3 linked regions of the Alligator mississippiensis genome follow. The protein of the gene in region 1 interacts with the protein of each later gene in a pairwise test. Links are inferred from orthologs where the notes say so. Each region holds a gene or a part of one and is shown in the gene's direction. Other genes may lie near its edges.

Region 1 (7,829 bases):
GCTAGGTGAATTAGATCTATTTAATTACCAAACCTGCTAGATGTATCTACATTCCAGAGCCATACATATAAGGAGAGCACAATGGTTTGATATTCAGAATTCATCTCTCTCAAAAGTTTGTGTTCTTTTTTAAAACATTTTTTGTTATGAAAATCCCAACCTTGGCTGAACATAGATGTACAGGTTTTATATTTGTATAGAAAGAAATGGAAGATGCAGTCTAATTTCCAACGTCTTATCTTGATTGCTGCACAGTGATCATTCTTAATTACTAAAATTTTGTTTCATTGCCATGCAGAAGGTTAAGTGGAATGAGTCATGGGCAGAACAGTTTGCTTTTAATAAATTGAAGTGGATATAGTAATAAAAAATCAGTGTAAATCTAAAATCATCTAACTGTCTAGACATGTAATGCCCAACTGGTGTCTGCTGAAAAGTATCATATTGATACTACTCTAATAATACTACGACCCTCGTAGTACTTCTCATTTTTCAAAATGCTGTATCCAACCTAATTCATTGTTGGCTGAACTTTGAGAAGACCTTGCACTCAACTTGATGGCATTTCTCTCTGCTTTGACTCTCTCTGATGAGATAAATGTTGAATGCTGCATCCAATCAGTTCCAAAATGTTAAGAACATTCTAGGCAGTGCAGCGCTTCTCTGCACCCTATTGATTTGAGGGAAAATTGGAGTAACAAAAAGAGGGAAGAAAGAAGCTGTTTCTTCAGCACCTCTGCAATTATTTGTGAATCAAATGCCTGGATAATAGAGGTCTTGCTCGCCTCAAAAAAAATGACATGAAAAATTACTTGCATCTTAAACAAATAACGATGATGGTGGGCCAGAATGGGGAATGAGGGTATGCACATGGCCCCTGCCATGTGAGAGGATAAGGGTCCTGGGATAGAATGAGGAGGAACAATAGGTGTACCTGGATCCCCTGTTGGAGGGGGAAATTGATGGATATAGGAAGAAGAGGCAGACAGCACCCATCATACATGGGGGTGAGAGAGGAAAGGGATACTGTTGACATGACTGTAATAGAAATAATGGGGATTAGAGGGTGCATTCAAAGTCCTTGACATTGTGAGTGAATAGAGCAGTCCTGTAGGGGAGGGGGAACACATGGTATCTCTGTGCCTGATATAGAGGCATAAACAGTTCCTGCCATTGGAGTGTGATTGACGGACCTTGGATTAGGAGATGCAGAGCCACTGGCATGAAGGAAAAAGGAGAGCCTGGTGTGGCTGAAGGAGGATATGGGTCACATGCATATCCTGAAAGGGCAAATTGGGAGAAGTTGCAGGAAGTCTCTCCAGTGGCGGTGGGGAGGGTTGTACAGGAGATGCAAAGGTGGCATAAAACGGGCTGGTGGTAGGAACAGAGGGATGCGTGGAGTTGCAGGTAATGCTAACAAGCTTAGCCAGGGGTTGTAGGGAGAGCCACAAAGCATGCAACATGGAGTTCTTACTGTTTTCAACAGCAGGAGTTTGGAGGCAGGGGGGAGAGAATAAAAAAGTTGGTTGAGTAACTCCCAGCTGTTTCCCATGAAAATGGAACGGAAATGTTTTGTATCACTGTGATTATTAATGTTCTGTTATAGCATTTGCTTGAGCCAAACTGTACATTCAGGTATTAAGTTTCTGATGCTCAAAACAAGCATCTACATAGCTTTGCCATTAATAGGTTTATTTGCATATTTGAAGTTATGCACATATGTAAATAGCTGCAAGATTAGGGAGAAACTCAGAAACATGTTTTTCTTTCTTGCCAACTCACGGTTCTATTTTAAGCAGAAATTGACAATTATGACCATTTTACCAGGTTGTAGAGTGTTTTTTGGAAGTGCACAGAAACTAAGATAAAACCATTTAACTAATTTTAATTTGCTACGGACATTGACATTTGAAAGCCAGTCTCCAGAAGGAAAAGGAGGGGTAGTGAAAGAAGGTACATCTTTGTGTTAAAGGTGGAGTTGCTAGGGTTTCTTAGTATTCTGAAAGATTTTAGGTCTGATTCTCCTTTCACGTTCCTATAACTAAGAAGTACAATGGAGTTATTCATGTTCTACACCTGTGTGTAATGGATTAGAGTTGGCTGAATATGTTCTGACAGAACTGTTTCATTTAGTAACCGCTGATTCAATGGATTCAAGTGCCTGTTCTGTTCATAATTGCAATAGAAACCGCGCAGGCTGGCCAACCAGCCCAGTTCAGATTTTGAAGAACAAAACTTTTCATAGTCTCGTAGGCTTCTTTTATGACTGGCATCAAGATCAGCACTTTCAAAAGTGGCCAAGTGACATAGTGGCTGTAGTGTACTATAGTTTTTGTACTTTTGTTTTGTTCTTTGAGGGTTTTTTTCATGCAAAATTTTGAGCCTTTGTGCACCTGATCTTCTGGGATGTCAAACAATTGAAGATCTCACTGGCTGCCACTGCTGTGGATACTCAACAACTTTGAAACTCAGGCCCAGACAGAGCTCTCAGATTTGTCATTCAAGATGCTAGCCACTTGATGTTTCCTGTCAACATTTTCCATGTCTAGCATGGTTCAATTATGGGGCTAAATAAGTGTTCATAAAGCCCTCAGAGTTCAGATAGAAGATGGTAAATTCACTGTTCTTAAATACCACTTCAATGGCGGTATACACTATGGGTGCGTCCCCATGAGTGCATGTGCGGTCTCCCAGTGCTGCAGACACTTGGGAGATCCCAGTGTCAAAAAAACCTGCACTGAAAAGAAGTGGGGTGGTGCACATGGCAGCAGTATGGGCCACACAAAACTAGAGCCTGGCTGGCTATGGTCTGTGCACCTGGATCACCGCTGCTGCAGTCCTGAGAGGCCCCCAGGAGCCCAGGCAAGGCAGCCTCCCCTACCCTACCAAGGGCACCTTGCTGTGCACCAGAGCAAGCACGCAGGGGCATTCCCCAGGGACACGTAGCAGTGCCACTGCTAATTGTCCCCAGGGAAACGCATATTCCTGCTTGTGGAGGCGCACCCCGTGATGGTGAGCCCAGTTCATTTGTGGCGGTTCTCATGCACAGTTTTTAATAGTTTGAGGTACTGATGTTTCAAAAGTTACCAGGTTTAAAAAGTTTCTGTATATCTAGAGTAGCTGCAAAATTTTAACATAGGCAAATTTAAGTAGCTTTCAAATGTAAGATGAGTCTTAAATATTTCAGTTCACTTCTCCCTTAGTTCTGTTCCCATTATTATTATTGATGCTTATTGATTCTAAGTAATCAGGGAGCCACCCCTGATTATTCTGCATTAAATATGAAGCAGCCTGTATTACCAGTTCAGGGAAACTGGTCATTGTAAACTGTCAAAACTCAAAATCCCCCTCCACTTGCAAGTCCCGGAGAAGAAAAATTTCCATAATTGGGAGCTTGAGTTAAAACTGGGTCCTTCTTTTTGGGACCTTCTGTCTTGAAATCTGCTGTCTAGCTGCTTGTGCAGCACGTCATCCCCATGGCAGCACTGTAGTTGGTCAGATCTAGTGCATGGATCACTATTCATCTAGGTCCTCCTTTCACTGAATTAGGTAAAATATACCTAAAATAAGAACAAGTTTATTTGGTTCTGCACCTATTAAAAAAAATCTATATCAGAGTTTCCCAGAACCTACATTGTACCAAGTCAAATGGGATAGTTTATTTTCGTGTACTCAAAGAAGCTGCACTTGTACCAGACTCAACAGGTAGGAGTAGGAGAATGAAGCCAAAACCCAGCAGGTTCCCAAAGTGGTTTTCTGTACTTCCTTGTATTGGGTTCTAGGATTATTTGGATGGTCAGTAAGGGAAGTAAAAGTTACTCTGTCTCTTGTGGGCTTAGGCCCAAATTTGGCAGGATTCTGGATCTGCATTTCTGTGATGTGGTTGAGCTGGGGGGGAGAACACCAGGGGGTTCAAAGTATTATGGACAGGGCTGGATCAACACTTTAGGCGAACAAACTTGTGGGCCCCTACTTAATACAGTATATTTATATTACTTTTTTACTCAATAATTATATGTAAAATAAGCCCAACTAGGCCCATTCTTCACTTCAGGCCTTAGGGCATGTGCCTTGTTTGCCAACAGGTCAATCCGGCCCTGATCATGGAATACTTGAGGAATAGTTTAGGGAACACTTGGCCTCTGGTTAGATCAGCGGTTCTTGACCTTTTTAGACTGGAGGCAAGCTTGAGGCACCCCTCATTAGACTCAGAAGATGCCGGCTCTTCCTTTTTGCGGGATTTTTCAACTGCAGAAAAATACCAGGAAAATATGTTCCCTCTTTACATTCTCACTGACATCCCTCTACACGTTTAGCTTCTCTCATTCCTTGGCCTCTCAGACCAGCAGAGACTCCCCATGCCCAACAAAGGGCGACTGTGCCCCACAGCTTGCAAAGGACATTTCCCCCCAGCTCGCCTGAAAGACATCAGACCAGTTTTGCTGGTGCAGAGAGCTTGGATGGCACCAGGTCGAGAAGGTTTTTAACACCTCTTTGAAATCTCCACCAGGTCTGCTGGCCCAGCGTGACACCCCAGGGCACCCTTGGAAAGGATCTCTAGGCAGAAGCCATTAGACTACGGAGAAGCGGGGCAGAAAGGCTGGAGGAGGCAGATCCAGATGTTGGCTCCCTAGAGGGGGGTTATTTTCTTGGCGTTTTGGCCCACGGGAAGTTGTCCTCTCTGTGCCGGACGAGCCGGGCGGTTGGCCTGGCAGCGGGGAGAGGACACAGGTGGAGATCCGGGCACTTGAGTGCCGCTGCCTCCCGACCCGGGCGGGTGTGCGCAGAGCGGGCGTGTCCGCCCCCCCCCGGCGCCGGGTCCCTCGCGCTCCGCATCCGGCTCCCCCCTCCTCCCCCTCCCTCTCCCGAGGAGCCTCCGCAGCCCTGATTTGCTGGGAGCTGGCGGAGGACTAGTCCTGGGCAGAGCTCCGCGGGGCTGCTGCTGACGCGGGGACCCGCTGCCGCCGCCGCCGCCGCGCCGCGCCGCCGAGGTACCTCCGGGGGGGGGAGGCTCCCACATCCATCGCTAGCGAGCAGGAGCCATTTTTAAGTGGGGGCGCGTGTGTGTGTAGCATCCCCGTGCCCCCTCCCCACCTCGCCTCAGGATCCAGCAGCGCGTATGGGGGTGCCTGCCCGCGTGCACTGCACTCCCTGTGCTTGTGTGTGTGAGGGGTGGGGTTCAGTGCACGCACTGGTGCGGGGGTGCAGCGGGGCAGGACCAGGGTCTTGGTGTGCGTGTTTTGGCCCCCCCCCGCTCCCCGGCCCGGCCCGGCCCGGCCCGGCCGCGGGTTCTGCAATGCGGTGGGTGTGGTCACGTAGTCACTCCTGGCTCGGAACCGCTGCAGTGGCAGCGCTCTATCCTCTTCTGCTCCTTCCATTCGCAGGCGCCCAGGTCCCCTCAGGGGCTGCTGCTTTCCCCACCCCACTTCTCCTTCAGCTGCAGCGCGGGGTTTTGGCCAGGGCAAGGAGAAGTCCTTGTGGGGAAGATGGAGAGGAGCAGATGGCATGAATCAGGCGGGCAGGGTGGGGAAGGGCACTGAGGAGGAGAAGAGAGGGTCGGTCGCTTCCAGGCAGAGGGGCTCTGTGGGGAACTCTAGTGGGCTGGGGTCTGGCTCACTCTTAAGATGCTGCCTGTGAGCGGGCAGGGCACACACCTTCGTGCTGCTCTGAAGCCAGGGAGAGTTGGGTTTGGTTCTACCTTGGTTGCGGGCCTTGTCAGAGCCTTGCCTGTTCTGTCAGCTGCTAACAGTGGGCCTGGGCCTTTGCGGGGATTTTCCCAAGGTCTCCAAAAGAAAATGAGGGTGTGGCTCTGTCATAAAACCTCTTGCTAGCCCCCTTGACCTGGGTCTTGTGTTCCAGCTGAGACCAGCATCTCTGGTGGGCAGCAGGCATAGCTGTGACGAGGGCTTTTACGTTTTCACTTGAAACTTTTCTTTCAACAGATTTGTACGAAACTGGAAAATTTGCCTTTCCCTAATCGTTAAAGACAGGAAAGCACCTTGTAGTTGCACTAGTTTTCAAGCGCTGCTTTTTTTTTTTTTTTTTTTATTCTGGCAGCATCATAAACTTCTGGGTTGTTCTGTTTTTTCAATAAAGTACTCATTGCTCGGAATAGGATTTTTTTTTCAATAGATGCATAAATGTTCCTTATACTTGAGAAGAAGATTGCACACACTTGGGTATTGCATCCCTTTCAAGCAGTAAGGAGAAAAGCTGCTGCCTTCACTTGTAGTCTTGAGTGAAAAGAATTGAAGAATTACAGGTCAGAAGTCAGTGCAATCAGTGAGCTTGTACAAGTAGCTACATCTCATACATTGTCAGGCTTTTATAGTTTTGTATCCTAGAAATAAAATACTTTTCTCGTGCTTAAATTATTGTTCTTAGGCTTTTATTTGATTGTGATATGAAGTTGCATAGTTGGTTTATAATCAGTAGACCAATAAGTAAAACATGTTTAAAAAAAAAAAGTGCCTAGTAAATCTGGAGCAAATGGAAGTAATTAATTATAAGCTTGCCTTCTACAAATATGGAGGATAACCTTTACATGGAATGTAACAAGTCAGGCTCATCGTTGTGTTGCATCTTCCCTTGTCATTTAATTGGTTAAATTCAGAATATGGCAGACATGCTGCATTGGTCTTTTTTTTTTTTTTTAATACTGTCACACCAGTTTGCTTGGATGGGATTTGCAACTCTGGTGTGAGGCTGAAATCCGCACTTCAGTAATGATGTACTTGATGGAGGGAGGGAGAACACTGCATTGGAGTGAGGAGCAACTGCAAGTTTATTCTGTGTGAGCAGAAAGGCTCCTTGAGCTTCTGTTCTGCTACGCTTCTGTTCACTGCAGTGATGAATAATTAACTGCAGAAAGCACCAGCCTAAATGCACTGTGAAAATGTTAAAATATATAATATTTTACTTTAATCAGACTAATGTAGTCAACTATGACTCCTCCCCTCAAGTCATTTCTTATGGTGGTACCACCTCATTAAAGTACTGTTTCATGATGCAGCTGATGGTATTTTTTTTGTTTTGGTGTGTTTTAAAAGGTTAGCCAGTATTACTGGAACCTTGGATAAATTAGGAGCTCGTTTCATGAGTGTTTGCCTCTGTTTGCTGCTGTGCTGTAGAGGTTTTGCCTTTGTCATGGCAAGAAGGGGTGTGTGCCCAGAAGCAACGAGAACTGTAGCAGTGAAGTCATTGCGCTGCCTTATGTTGTGACATCACTCTGGCTCAAGGAAATGAGGGTGGGGCACCACAAATCAAACTGTCTGGACTAGCTTTGTTGGTATAACTTTGTGCCTGCTAAATGAACGAGACTGAGGTTAGCCTCATCTTGGTGACTACGGAGAACCGTGCTTCTGAAAGAGGGGCAAGCAGAGGTGAAATTAATGCTTGTTTATACTTTCAGATGAAACAAGGTGATGTGCAGGTTATCTGTAGCAGAAAATGGTTAAATAATTACCTTCAGTGAACAAAACTTCTTATTACAGGTATTTGAGGGCTTCATTGTTTATGAACAATATACACATTTACAGTTAGTTTGGTACATAACAAATATATTTTTGTTGGGTATATTTGATCTTTTTTGTGCATTGGAAATGTATTCCTTTCAGAAGGTTATTACTTCTTAAAATTAATGTAAGGTATCCTCTTTGTATTACAAATATGATATTGAATTAACAAATAGAAAAGTTCTTGAAAATGGATGATGATTAAACCTGGCTCATGCAAATCTCTTGTTCCAGAAAATGTGTGATGGCTGGGAAGAAGAAATTAAAGCATTTTATAGTTGAAATAAATATTCTTTTATAATACATAAGATTTAA
Region 2 (6,927 bases), on another chromosome or scaffold:
TTTCTTCTAAGACACTTTTCATGAAGATGCACTTTTTAAATACAAAATGGAGATTGTCCTTTGCACTTATAGCTCACAGATCAGGAAGACCTATAAAAACAGGCTTTTCATCTCCCAAAAGTTTGCCCTGCCTCTTAGAAATCCAAGTGATCCCAAGTATAGCCCATTTCAGACCTTCATGAAAAACACAGCTTTTTGTTCTGTTTGCAAATGGTGGGCATTATAAGCTCCCTGTATTTTTTTTTCTGTGAAGATGGCCAGTGTTTATTCATTTCAGTTGCTTTGGGTATTTTGCTTATTTGCACAGGGAAACATTAAGTACAGCCTATTTCCTCAGAAGTGTTTACACTAAGTTAAGCCATGTAAAGGTTTGTCCAGTGAGAGAAGCTTTAGAAATACTTGCATTAATATCAGTAATAGACAGTAAAGACAGTACTAAAACTCATTTAATTTGGTTTCCTACTACCTTTATTAAAACATCTCAAGCTGGTTTACAATTTTTTTTTATTAGCTTTACAATTTCCTTGTGAGGTAGAAAAAGATTATCACAGGCAATGCTCATTTTCAGCAACACCTGGTAAGAGCAGCAACTCCTTACTAGCAACATTTCCCCTGACATTCCCTTAAACAACACCAGTCAGCTAGAAGCAAGTAGCACCAGGCCACTGACATACTGCTTTTAACAGGCATCAGTGGTATCCTCATGTTGCATATAATGAAACTGAAGCCTCATCTTCACTACTAAAATGTATCTTTTTACCTCTGGGTAAAAACATGCATGAAATATCCCAATGGAAGAACACAATGAAAAAAAGCACTTGTACTGTGAGGTAAACTCACCTAGGTCAACCCTACGCCACCATCTCTGTGAGTTCATTTCTTGGAAAATCTGTCTTCATTGTATTAGTTATCCTGGAGTAAAAACACAGCTATTCTTGCAGCAAAGGCAAACTCTGAAGCTTCAAGACTCTCAACAATGTTACCTAGGAAACCTGTGTAAGGGCTTTCATTAGGGAAGTGATTCTTCCATTCTATTTGGCTTTGGTAAGGCTGCACCTCATGTACCATGTCCAGTTTGGGAACCCACACTTTTAAGAAAGTTGTGAACAGATTGGAAAGAGTCCAGTAGAGGGCAACAAAAATTATTAGGGGCTTAGAAAGCATGACATGAAGAAAGGCTGAAAGATCTATGGTTATTTAATCTGGAGAAGAGAAGACAGAGGGGTGGGTTGTTAACAGCCTGAAGGCCAGTTACAGGGTGGATGGAGACAGACTATTCTCTGTGGCCATAAGGGACAGGGCTAGGAACAATGACCTCAAGAGCAGCAGAGGAATTTTAGATTGGATATTAGAAGGAATTTTTTGCTAAATAGAGTAGTTCTGGAATCTCCATCAGTGGCAATTTTCAAAAGTAGGCTGGAGAGACACTTGGCTGGGATGGTTTAGTCAGGCATGATCCTGCCTTGAGCAGGGGTCTGGATTAGATGACTTCACAAGGTCTTATCCAGTCCAGTCCTACAACCCTATGAACCCAGGTTACCTGATGCCCAGTAACTCAGGTCATTGAAAGCCATGGTTGACAAGGTTGGGTTGGAGGTAGGCCAGTGCTTCCAACATGGCCCTTGCTGCTAAATGCAGTGCAAGCAAAGCCCCAGTGTTGCCACTTCTTCCTGCTGTACAGTTGTAATACAGTGTGGGCAACCCCCATCACCCAACTGTGGTGTGGGCAAAGACCCCTTCCACCTCAACTATGCAGTCTAGACACAAGTCTCCACAGGGCAGATCTACATGTTGCTAACCTTTGGTGGTGAGAACTACAGAAGCCATTTCATCAGCAGCAAATGCGGATGGGGACAAGATGATAGCCACCCAGGTTACACATCTTCCACAAGGCCCCTTCAGACCCAGATACTCTGATTCTAGAAGCAGTTCAGTCTGAATCACGTTTGGCATGCGAGAGAAGTGGGTTGTGAGGGATTTTCAAGGGAGTTGAGATTCATAGGCCGTTGATCACACCCAATGCTAATAAGGGGACCCTAGGAAAAAACAATGGTCATAGACCATGACTCAGTTTCCCTGCTCCCTAGTGAATTAGCCAAGAGATCCTTATTTCATAGGAATGGGCAGGAATACACAAATCTGAACCTAAACTGTATAACCCCACCACACACAAAGGCTGAGGGGTGGAAGTCTGAAATGTGTGTCAAACCCTGAGGACAAATTCTGAGGGTCCTGAGACCTTGCCACTGGTAGTGAGTATGTTTGTTTATTCTCTGCTGTATGGGGTTGTTCTTGTTAATACTGCCTGATTGATAACATCCCAAGAAACCAGTGTATGGCTTGAAGAACTTGCTTTGGCTTCTCTTGCACTTCTCTGGATAAAATCCCCCAGAGACATCCTGGATGCAACAGGGAATGAAAATGAGGCTGTAATAGAACGAGCCCTTGTCCTTATGGTGTAAGCCTATTTATTTACCCAGCATGTCAAAATAACAAGGTTCTTGAACTCAAGTTGCTGTGTTCTTACAAGTGGCAGGGCTAGGGTGGAGACAGGGACAGGAGTCACACTGCTCTACAGTACAGCCTAGGTGGACCCAAGGCACCAGGCAGATCCTACCATGACAGAATGACTCTCAAATCCAGAGGCACATAAAGACCATGGAGAACAAGCCATTGCACAGGAAAGCCAGCAATTCGGCTACATACAAAAAGCTCAAGGCAGATTCAATCTGTTGTGCAATTTTCTGTAAGTCTCATGACTTTTGAGGAGAGGCTGAGGGAGAAGAGAAGACTGAAAGGTGATTAAATAGCAGCCTTCAACTACCTGAAGGGGGGTTAGAAAGAGGGTGGTGGCAGATGACAGAACAAGGAGCAATGGTCTCAAGTTGCAGCAAGGGAAGTTTAGGTTGGACATTAGGAAGAATTTTCTCACCAGGAGGGTAGTAAAATGCTGGAACAAGTTACCCAGAGAGGTGGTGGAACCTCCATCCTTGGAGGTTTTCAATACCTGGCTAGACAAAGCCTTGGCCGGGATGATCTAGTTAGGGACGGTCCTGCTTTGAGCAGGGGGGTGGTTAGATGACCTCTTGGTCACCTAGTCCAACCCTCGTTTTCTACGATTCTAGAGATCGGCAGTGAACAGCACACACAATTGCCCGTGGGGGTGATGCGCAAATCCTACACTGGGTTCTGCCATTTTTAAATCAGTCTGTGCATGCTGAACTGTTCTGTTACAGGTACTGGCCGGTTTTCAAACACTTATATCTATACCAGGCCTTTGGGGTGCCAAAAGGCCAGGCACCAAGGGGGAAGACTGGCTGCCCCCAGGGGGCCCTTGCCCACCCCTTGGCATCAGCAGAGAACACGAAAGCCTGCAAGAGCCATGCTGTGGAGACCACGACCGACCGACCCGGGTCACCTGCGGGCTAATGAGAGCGGATGATTTGTGTTAGCACCGTTGGAGGTGGGGGGGTGGGGAAGGGGCTGTGGGGGCCTCATGATACAGAGGCCAGGGCCGGGAAGAGCTACCCTCGCGGGGGCGCTGCCACAGGAACAAGCAAGAGGCGGGCCCCTCTCAGGGCCTCGGGGCACGGCAAGCCCCATGCTCCCCGGCGGGCGCCCAAGGCGCTGCAGCTCCGCTGGGTGGGGGCGGGACAGGATAGGGCAGGGCCCTCGCCAGGCCACAGCCTCCTGTCACTGCCGCTCTCGCGCCGCAGCCCCGGCGAGGCAAGGGGAGGACCAGCCTCAGCAGTTTTTAACCCTTTCGGGGTCAGCGCTGCGAACGCCAAAGCGGAGACGCTCCCGGAGCCGCAAGACCCGCCTCGCAGCGGCGGGAACCACGGATTGGCTGCGGAGCCTGCCCGTCAGGCTGGTGGGCGGGGTGGCGGTCCGGGCTCGCGTGACCCGTCATCGCCGCGCGCCGGCAGCGGGAGGCGGGGCCCGGCCCTGGCCTTAGCCTGCTGTTATGGCGGCCGTGGTGGAGCTCAGTGACTGTCCTGCCTATGCCTGCGACTCGGAGGTTGGCGCCGGCCCGACGGCTGGGGAGGCGTTGAGCGGTGCCCTGCGCTCCCTGGCCGAGTTGGCGGGGCAGGTCTGTGCGGGGCCGGGCCGGGCAAGTCTCGCTGGCTGCGCACCCTCCCCCTTCTCGCAGCGCCCGGCGGGGCCAGGGGGCGCTCCCCGCTGGGGTTCCCCGGGCTCGGGTCGCCGCTTCGCGCCTCCCCGGGGCGGGGCGGGGCCCTTCCGGGGTCGGTCACTTGGTTGTCTGGTCGTGGGCGCCCTGACTATGGGCCGGCGCCCGCCCCTTCCTCGGGCTCATGCCGCCCGCGAGCGTGTTCGTGGGGGCCCCGCGAAGCTCCCTTAAGGCAGCGCTTCTCATCCTTTTCTGTGTCAGGGCCCATTTGTAAACATCGGTGGCCAGTCCTGACCCGTTGCCCCCAGGCTCCAGCCCCCCCCCAGTGTGTGGAGCAGAGGCAGAGCAACTCCTCGCAGGCTGGAGCTCTGCCAGCCTGCGAGGGGAAAGCCATGGTTTCCCACGTTTTTCTCCTTTGAAGGAGAATCCTTTTTTAAAGTTTGTTCCTGACCCTTTTTCTATATTCTTGTGACCCACTTTTGGGTCACAACCCATGGGTTGAAAAATGGTGCTTTAAGGGACTGGGGGAGCCCTGGTCAGGATGTTGTGGCTCCTGGAGAGGCAGGCTCGCTCGGTGCTCCTGGTGCCTTGCAGCCTGAGCTTCCCCAGTTCTTGTTTGTGAATTTTGCAGGGTCCCAGGATTGTAAGCAATGACTTAAGAGTGAGTGGAAAGAATGGGAAACGTGTGCAGCTTGGTGGCTGTTTTCTGTAGAACTCAGTAGCCTCAGATATAAGTTTGCTCAGTTGTCTGCTGGTCTAACTCGCTGCAGTCTGACAATACCTTTTTTTTTTTGTTTTTGGTAGTTGCACAGGCCGTACTGGTCAAGTGAAGCAGGTATGACAGCTGCTTCATATCGCTCAGGCCCGTAAACATCTTGGCTCTCCAATACTGAGGGACTGCAGCATTAAGGACCTGAAAATCTAAAGATTAAAGCCCACATTCTTTCAGTTTTCCTATCTATAAAATGAATAAGAACACTTGCCTACCTTTCCAACTGGAATTTTGTGAAGATTAGTTAGCATTTTGCTATTAGACATGCCTCCCAACATCTGTACTAATTCTTTGTTAATTAAAGGAACTGAGTGGAGTGAAGAATTCCTCTTTTCTGGCCATCACAATGTGTCTCCTATTCTGAAATCACTTTTTTCTTCTTGTACTATACAGTGCAACCAAAATATCAAATCTTTAAACTTATGTGAAAAACAAAAGATCAGCCACATTCCTAAAGATGACACAATCTGTCCACCGGCTTAAAAGAGAGATCCCAACTATGCAGTTAGTCTAGTAAAAGATGTAATCAGAAATCCCTTGCTTTTTGTCTATTTTCTGGATCACCATGGCTACAGCCACAGTCTAAATTAGCTGCAAGGCTATTAACCGTTTTAAAAACAGTAGTTTCTATTACTGCTTTTAGTGTTTCACAAGTTATTCAAAGCCTGGCCATGTTGGTGCTGCATCTAGGTTCAGAATCCTAGTGTTTTCACTATGGAGAAGTGAGTGAGGGGGCTTAACAGAATTTAGCCACAGCAATTTTATTTCACAACAAGGTGGTTCTAGTCTAAAACACAGTCTACTGTTGGGACACATAGGGATATCTTTTGTGATGGAGTGGCTTACTCGTACTGTAAACTGCTGCAAAATAGACCATCAGCCAATGAAAGTGTAGCAGCTGCAATAACTAGTATCAAACACAAACATTATAGTCCACTTATCACACTATACAAAGACATTGTGTAAGGCTAGCACACTAGTATATACAAAAGTGTGGATTAATAGGGTTTAGCTTTGCTATAGGGATTATTCTTTACTTGTAATTTGAAAGCTGCTTGAATAAGCATGCCTCTTTAGCTTTTTAAACTGCTAATCTCCAAGTTATTCCCATTCAGAAACCTTGCTAAATTTTCATATGTTGAAATATCTATATAGAAGCCCGAATGAAATGTATAGTTGTTACTTTATTCTCAGCAAAAAAGATTCTCTGGGGAACTTTGAGGGAAGCATGTTTTTAATCTGTTAAATGCAAATCTCTGCCTCCACTGACAGGATAACAAAAATCATGAGTAGTTTTCAAAACACTGTGTCCTTTTTGTGGAGTGGGGGAGATAGAACAGCTCAGGCTGTGTGCACATGTAGGTATGTGATTGGTAATGCTGGCTTAGAGAAATAAGTAAAACTTCATTTTCTTGAGTAAATGAGGTATTCTAACATTAGCCTAGGGTCTAAAAACATGTTTTCCCCCCACTTGCTATCCAGGGTTTAGATTGAGCATTGAAAAGAGGAAAACCTCTTGCTTGAGAGAGATTTATGATATGTATTATATGAATGTGAACAAAAAGATTGAAAGTTTAGCCTATGTTATGTGTTTTTAGTAGTTTGGTAAATAGAAAAAAGTTGTATAAACTTGCTATTTAGGTCACTAGTTTTTCTGCCTTCATAAGAATTGCTAACCCCATCTGCTTTCCTGCAGATTGACTTGGGGCCTGATTTTAAACTTAATCCAGCCGTTCTCCCTGCATAAAGAATGGAGGATCAGGCTCCTTTCCAGATAGGAGTAGTATTAAGACAGTTCCAGTGCTTACCCAGTCATTTTAGTATTTTAATTGCTTTGCCTCCAAACTACTGCTAGCAGTCCTGTATATTTACTTTATTTACATTTGAATCTCTTTCTGTATAGTGTGCTTTTAGATTTTTTTCTTGCATATTTTAACCTTCAAATGTCTGCCCCCTTTAAAAAATATATTTTGAAGTCATCAAGAAGTAAATACATACCCATAATATTTGGTGCCATTAGACCAGT
Region 3 (7,847 bases), on another chromosome or scaffold:
AAAATGCTGATCTCTGCAGAGGTGTAACGCAAGAAGGAGGAGGGTCCCTGCTTGCTGGTTTTCCCTCTAGTGTATCTGCAACACACAGAGCAGGATTTTCTCAGTAAAATATGAGATTATCTATTTAAGATTATCTATTATCAATATGCATTTTGATAGAGCCATAAGCAAATATGTCGCAATCCAGAGATTAAGAGGCCTTCCTTTGTGGAAGTCAATGGGAGTTTGACTGTTGAGTTCAATGGGTTTTATCCATGGTTCCTAAGATTTACATTGCAAATTAGACAGTGACAGACCATGAAGACAGACAAAGAAAGGAAGTAGAAAAAGAACAGACATCTAAAATTGTTGCATATCATATGAGGAAAAGATATGAGCTCATATACTTTTTAGTCTCCAGAAACCATTTATTAAAATAATTGATTCCTATTGGGCTTGGGAACTATCACCAAAAATATCTTGAATAAATCCTTGTAATATTATTAATAATTATCTATAAAGCACCACTTTCAAAAGAGTTACTGTCCTTAAGTGCTTATACTATTGTTGATTACTGTTGTAATATGCTACAATGAATTTCAAATTGATTTTTCCCTTCCATAATAGTTGTGGCAACAACTTGTCACCAAATTTTAGAGGGACACAACAGGATACAACTTCAGCTATTAACCCCATGAATGCCAACACGATTTTTGTATTCTGTACCAGGTGTGGTACTTATAACACTGCACATAATTCTCATTCATGTATGTAATTTGCATAAAGGGTGTTTGGTGTGAGGTATCTAGGAGCCATACAGTAACGGATAAATGCAAAGCAGTGCCAGACACAAAAGGCAGCCAGACAGCATTCAAGAAAACACAAAGCTCTGCTGAAAAAGGATCCTGTTCCAACTGGTTAAAGGAATGGAGAAAAATAAAACCAAAAGAAGGTATTTCTCTAAACTGCTTAAATGCACAGAGTTTACAGGGAAACAGCAAGAATACTGATAGCTGCTGAGGAACCTTGACATAGGAAAAACCTGTTCTCATCCTGACTGAACCTAGAAACCGATTACAGACCTGACCAAGATGGCCATAAATTCCTGGTTAGGTTATGAAGTTGGGCCATGACCTCTTGGGTACTTCAGGCTGAGATGATGAAGGGGTTTATATTTAAGTACAAAGATCTTGATGTGTGTGTTTTAGGTAACAGTGACCAAGTGAGTACCATGAGAAGCAAATGTAGCTGACTTCCTCAGGCATATCTGAGGAGTTAGCAGACAGCTGTTTTTTCCACCTGTCATAGTCTGGTGGTGAATTAGAGAGAAATCCAGTTTGGAGCCCAAGGTTGTAGTGCAGCCTGGATGTGATGGAGGATGGACACAGCAGTCCCCACGGGGCAGTGGTCTTTGCTGCTCAGCTGCTACAACACAGGGAGAGGAATGCTGTAGGGGACTCCCATGAGGAAGGGAGTAAACTTAGGGGTAAAGTGTCCACACACAAGGACAGGATGGTGATCCAGACCAACCTTGACACACACAGAAAATGGGTGAACGAAAACCTGATGGCCTTCAACACCAAAAAATGCAAGGTACTACACCTTAGGAAGAAAAACCTGCAGCGTGCTTATAGGCTTGGCAGTGCTACACTTGCTAGCACCATGGCCGAAAGGGACTTGGGGTCATGATTGACCACAAAATGAACATGAGCCACCAATGTGATGTTGCAGCTGGCAAAGTGAGCAAGACTCTGACTTGCATCCATAGATGCTTCAGGCAAATCCCAGGATGTAATTCTCCCACTGTACTCGGCCTTTGCAAGGCTGCAGCTGGAGTACTGTGTCCAGTTCTGGGCTCCACAATTCAGGAAGGGTGTGGAGAAGCTTGAGAGTCTAGAGGAGAGCCACGTGCATGATCAGGGGTCAGGAAAACAGGCCTTATGATGAGAGGCTGAGAGCTATGGGACTTTTCAGCCTGGAAAAGCGCAGACTCAGGGGGGACCTGATGGCTGCCTATAAGAATATAAGGGGTGTACATCAGGATCCGGGGGAATGCCTGTTCACCAGAGGGCCCCAAGGGATGACAAGGTCAAACGGTCACAAACTTCTCCAAGACCGTTTCAGGCTGGACACAAGGAAGAACTTCTTTCCTGTCCGAGCCCCCAAGACCTGGAACAGATTGCCACCAGAGGTGGTGCAAGCACCTACTCTCGACTCCTTTAAGAGTCAATTGGACATTTACCTTGCTGGGATCCTGTGACCTCAGCTGACTTCCTGTCCCTGGGGCAGGGGGCTGGACTTGATGATCTTCTGAGGTCCCTTCCAGCCCTAATGTATATGAATCTATGAAACCTATGAAGGGGAGGCACAGAATGATGTTGGTGCTGGACAGTTCCATGGCAGCTGAGAGCAACTGTTGGGGCTGGGCAGCTGGATCTGGGGATGGGAGATGCGGGCCTGAAGGCAGTGAAGAGATGGGTGGATGGAAAGGGAAAAATGGGGAACAGGCAGCAAAGCAATCAGAGCAGTAAGTCATCACCAGGGTGGAGAAAACCAGGGTCCAAGAAAGAAAAGCAGGGTATGAAACCCAGCTGGGAGATGAAGAAGGCTCCTGGCTAACCTTCCTCTCAGCACAGAGGGGACATGAGGCACTTGGACTAATGGCCATTGTTAGGCTATGAATGCTAAAATGCCTCATTCTCTGCTGCTGTGAATAACTCAATATCTATGCGGGAAGAGTTGGTAGTGGGGAGGCTGAGAGGTTGATTCTCCTGATACTGTGGGACAGAAATTGAATGTGGGCTGATCTCATAGTTACAGCACAGGACTAGGTGGCAGGGTGACTTCATTCCATCCCTGGCTCTGCCACAGACTTGCTTTGTGGCTTCTGGCAAGTCACTTAACCATTCATAAGATGGAGATGACATGGTGGTTGGGAGGCTTGATTCATTACTGTGTGTTCAGCATTTTGAGATCCTCAGGTGGAATGGGATGTAAAGGGCAATATATTATTATTTAATGTAATGTACTTAGGGTACACACTTGCATCCATGGTTATCAAACCAAGGGACAGTGGGTTATCGCAACATATTTATGCTGGTCTCAGTCCTAGTGAGTGTATACTAGTGATGATGACCATTATGATGGGTAGGTATCTGTGGTGCACATTTGGGATGGCATCCCTCATGATTGAGACCATATCTTTTGTAATGAAAGCCCCCAACTTCCCAGATAGTTTGGAGGAGGGGAACATTCTTTTTATACCCCAAACTTGGTTATTAGTATGTATTATGGCAGCCATCTTGCTTAATAACCACATCTGTTTATACCTGACATTTATTATCCATCTCCAAAAATGTATTGGCTGTCTCATCAAGGGGGTGAAGGAAAGAACAGGCTATGGAGACAACTCAATTTTCACTTCTGGAGGTGAAGCTATCAGGTTCAAAATAAGTACTTGGAGGAAATGTGCATTAGTACTAGTGCATTGCAGACTTGTTCTCTGATATGAAATCTCTAAACTTCCTTTTATAAATCTCTGGAATGTTTTATACATGTTGCTATGTCTACAGGCTTTTTGGGGAAAAAGGTCTCTCTTTAAGTTTTCCAATGAAATTCATAATGTGGAGTTAAGATTACCCTGGTACATAATGAATATGCCTTTTTATTTATTTTTTAATTGATGAATTAACATAATGCACTCATTGGCTTGCCACTCATGGATTGTATGGTGTCATTCCTAACAATGTTTTTCCCTTCCAAATTGATTGGAACCATCCCTATTCCCGCCCCCCATGTCCTCCTAGCTGAACTGTTGAATATTACTGGGTGGGGGAAATAAACCACTCTGCAGTTACCCTGACACAGTGACTCAGCAACATAGTATCACCATTTAATAATATAATAATACATATGATACTATAATTGTCACCATGTAACTTTTTGTGCTATATAGGGCACCTTGCCAAATCATAATACTACTTTTCATTTCTATAATATGGTACTGTTCATCCAAGTATCTCAAAGCTCTTTAAAACATTAATTGAACCTCCAAATTATTCTGTAACATAGCAAAGTACAAGCACTGCCTGTTCCAAAGATTTAGAGCCTGCCTCCAAAAATCCTGAGCTTCTCTTAAAAATCATGAGCTTAAAATAGGACATTTTGTGGTTTTTATTTGCCTTGCAGCTGTTTGGCTTTTTAAGGTGTGCTCTGGTCAGGTTGTTCTTTGCAACGAGGAGGGCCAGAAACGAATGATTTTTAAACCCAAGCTCCAATTCTCACATCATCACCTGCCCCAAGGAATTGAAGCCTAAAGGAAGGATCCCAAATATCACAAGTCTTGGAACAGGTTCCCCAGACAGGTGGTGCATTCTCCATCCTTGGTGGTTTTTTAAAGCCTGGCTGGGATGATCGAGTTGGGGCTGGTCCTGCTGGGGCAGGGTGTTGGACTAGATGTGACCTCCGGAGGTCCCTTCCAACCCGCATTTCCCATGGCTCTAGGACAGGGGTCAGCAACGTTTTTTGGGGCAGAGTGCCAAAACCACCTGCAACCTCCACCGGGAACACGGCCCCGCACCACGTGCTGGTCGCGGGGCGCCCCGGGGCCACTGCCAGCAGCTCCGGTGTGAGCGCGCGGCCCCGCCCAGCGCGTGGCGGGGGTGGGGGCTGCCCGGGCGCGGGGGATTCTGGGAGAGCGAGTCCGCCTCGGGCGGCGCCGCGCACTGCGAGTCCCGGCGTGCCTCGCGCGGGGGGCGGGGCCGCGTGACGTGTAGGGGCGGGGTCGTAGGGGGTGTCCTGGGCGCGGCGCGCACAGCAGCGGGTGCAGCCGCCGCCGCCGGAGCCGCAGCAGCAGCAGGAAGAGGCGCCGCCGCCGCCGGAGCCGCCTTGGTCGCCCGCTCGCTCGCCCGCCCCGAGCCGCCGCCGCCTCCCGCCGTCAGCCCAGCCCAGCCCCGCTCCCTCCGCTCCGCGCCCGGCGGGAAGATGGTGGACCGCGAGCAGCTGGTGCAGAAGGCCCGGCTGGCCGAGCAAGCCGAGCGCTACGATGACATGGCGGCCGCCATGAAGAACGTGAGTCCGGCCCGGCCCGGCCCCGGCGCCTGCCTCCCCCTCGCTCCCCCCTCGCGGGTGCAACAAAGGGCCCGGGCGGGCGGGCGGGCGAGGCCCGTGCCTCCCCTCGGCCCCCCGCCCGGGGCAGAGGAGATGCCCTCGGAGCTGAGGAGATGCCGTCGCCCCCCCACCCCACCCCCACCCCGTGTCTGGGCGGTGCCCTCCCCGCCAGCTGCCCTGGCCCCCTCCCCGCACCCTCCCTCCTTGCCTGCCTGCCTTCAGTCCTGGGCTTAAAATCTAGAAAAATCACCCCGTGGTGTCGGGGTCCCCTGCCGCCCCCGGTCCCTGCCCGCCGCCGCGGGGGCTGGAGTGACCCCCCAGAGGGCGGCTGAGGATCCTCGGAGGGACTTGCCTCGAGCCACATGAGGGATGCGTGTCCTTCCTCGCCCGCCGCCCGGCTCTCTCTCTAGCCGCATCCTCCGCTCGGTGCCCGATTCCCACGACTAGCGCGGACTGGTGTCCTCCGTGACTTCTAAGTCTTTAATGGCTCACGCTTATTTCCTTCCTTTTTTTTTTTTTCCTTTTAATTGCGTTTCAAGATCTCTGAGCTGAGTCAGGGTTGTCTTCATTTCACGCTCTTAAAATAAAGGCTCTGCGTTTTAGCGGACCCATCTGGTTTGTGACACCTTAATGTGTCTTTTTAATTAATACTGACACACATTTTTTTGACAATCTAACAAAAAAAAAAAAAAAGCCTCTCTGATCTGATCTTGCAAACAAAGCAATCGTGGGAGGCAGTATCAAGTCATTCCAGAAGATTCTGCATTTGTCATATTGCAGAGAGGCTAGACTGGGTGGAGGGAGGGAGGGGTTGCTTTAAAGGGGAAAACTGTTCTTTTATATTTGTCTTCTTGGTCAGGTCTGAGCCTTTAAGAGAAGCTGGGGTGTCCTCCCTTGCTGATGAGAAGTGAATGCTGATCTAGGAATGTCGCAGTCTCTTGAATGCAGCTCCATTCGCTTATATTGCACCATTTTGTCAGTAACCTTGCATTTATCATATGGGCAGAACTGTCACAGCCTGAGAATGGGATGGGAGTTGTACCTCCATAAATGAAATGTGGAACAATCGGAACAAAATGAGCTTGACAGCGGTTCGGTGGCTTTAATACATGAGCTGCTCTACTGCAGGATTGAATTTTCCATTTTTTTTTTTTTATTTTAATTTTTTTTTTTTTTTGTAGAGCCCTGAGCTTTGGTTTAAATGTATGTGTGCAAATATTAAATATTTTATTCAGGTAATATATAGCTACTGCTATCTAAAACAGAACATAGACTTAAATGCAAAGTAATCTTATTCCAATATATTTGTTTCTCCACAGATATAATTGGTATGCTTCTTCCCCTCCCCCCCTCAGTTCTGTATTCTTTTTTAGAAGGAAAAGGCTGACTTAATAAAAGGTCATGATTACTTTTAATGGCCATCATGAAACGGCAATCTGGACTGTTGCATCTCCAGTACATTGGAATCGGTTTCCTATAGCTGAACTATACTGGAGGTGTTCGAGCTCTTACTACATCACACGTGCACACAAGCAGCATTTCATTTTCTTTTCCTTTCTCTTTTTTTTTTTTTCCCATAACCTGGAAAATGCTACTTGGATCTATGCATGGTCCTATCTTACTGGACATGTTGCACTGATTTATTGTCCCATCTAATCACCCATTCCCCTCCCCATCTCCAGTTGTGCAGGAGGCTTGTGACCTCGGACTCATTTCCGTAGCAACGCAGTGATGTCAGAAGCAGTGGTACAAGCTGCATTGCACCCAGGTGGTAGCAGAGAGCATGCAGATTGCATATTTCAGAATTGATGCAGAAATGTTACCATGTAGTTATCCAGTGGGATTAACGTTCTCCCAGAAACTAGATGATAGATCTTTCATATATCTTTTGACAACTAATGCATGACAAATCATTCCTGACAGATCATTAGATCAAGCATGAATACCACCACTCTCACACTTGCTGCATGTCTTTCTTTATAAGATTGTATATAAAGAAAGCAGTGGCACCGTTTTTTTGTTTTTAGTGCAAACTCAAGTACAGTGCAGTAGTTAACACACAAGAACATAGTCACATCTTTGAAAATCAATTATAAGATTAAATGTTATTAATGACTAATGGGTTTGTGATGCAGCCTTCAGTCACTTAATTCAACAAACCCAACCCATACTTCCTTGGAAGCTTTTAAATAGAATAATTGCAGTTAGGGTTTCTTATTGGACATAGCATGCTGGACTCTTTCTAAACACATCATCTACTGGGCAGCCTATTACTGCAGTGGAGTGTACAAAACTGAATAAAAATGTTTCCTTATTTGGTTATCATCTCCACATCTGAATATCTAGTAGGCACTTGATAAACTTGGTTTTTAAATTTGCTAACTACACAAATCCATTGTTGTGCTTGGGTAATGCCAATGAAGCTGGATAGTGATAGTGGATAGTTTATGCTCAATTGAAGCAGTGTGGTACTTCCTGTGCTGCATTAATTGCTATGAAGGATCAGGGGAAAACTGGCTTCTTGAGTGAGTACCTTTAGAAGTAATATTGCTGGATAGATACAGTACTGGACTAGGGCACAAGAGTGCCTTGCTTTAGTCTTGGTTGTGCCATTGACCTGCCGGCTGACCTTGGGCAAATCGCTTCATCCATCCCTTCATACACCCATACAGATGGGGCTATTACCCTTCGGTATGGTGGTCTGAGAGTCTCTGAAGAGCACAGAATGAGCCCAGAGCACAAGTTATAATGAATGACCT

Evidence for each region.
Region 2: the proteins of EPB41L3 (region 1) and MBIP interact in a two-hybrid assay, tested with the Homo sapiens proteins (2 studies listed by BioGRID). The two-hybrid records come from large-scale screens. The link is inferred for Alligator mississippiensis from reciprocal best matches to the Homo sapiens genes EPB41L3 and MBIP.
Region 3: the proteins of EPB41L3 (region 1) and YWHAG interact in binary tests that used the Homo sapiens proteins (3 or more experiments, as listed by UniProt). The link is inferred for Alligator mississippiensis from reciprocal best matches to the Homo sapiens genes EPB41L3 and YWHAG.

What each region holds. Positions count from the first base shown.
Region 1 is NC_081826.1:92,350,600-92,358,428, reverse strand, and holds the start of EPB41L3 (band 4.1-like protein 3), read left to right. Parts: upstream 1-4,826; 5' UTR 4,827-4,991; intron 4,992-7,829. UniProt on the Homo sapiens protein: Tumor suppressor that inhibits cell proliferation and promotes apoptosis. Modulates the activity of protein arginine N-methyltransferases, including PRMT3 and PRMT5.
Region 2 is NC_081825.1:257,639,696-257,646,622, reverse strand, and holds the start of MBIP (MAP3K12-binding inhibitory protein 1), read left to right. Parts: upstream 1-3,922; 5' UTR 3,923-3,964; coding exon 3,965-4,090; intron 4,091-6,927. UniProt on the Homo sapiens protein: Inhibits the MAP3K12 activity to induce the activation of the JNK/SAPK pathway. Component of the ATAC complex, a complex with histone acetyltransferase activity on histones H3 and H4.
Region 3 is NC_081837.1:16,884,220-16,892,066, forward strand, and holds the start of YWHAG (14-3-3 protein gamma), read left to right. Parts: upstream 1-4,789; 5' UTR 4,790-4,962; coding exon 4,963-5,049; intron 5,050-7,847. UniProt on the Homo sapiens protein: Adapter protein implicated in the regulation of a large spectrum of both general and specialized signaling pathways. Binds to a large number of partners, usually by recognition of a phosphoserine or phosphothreonine motif.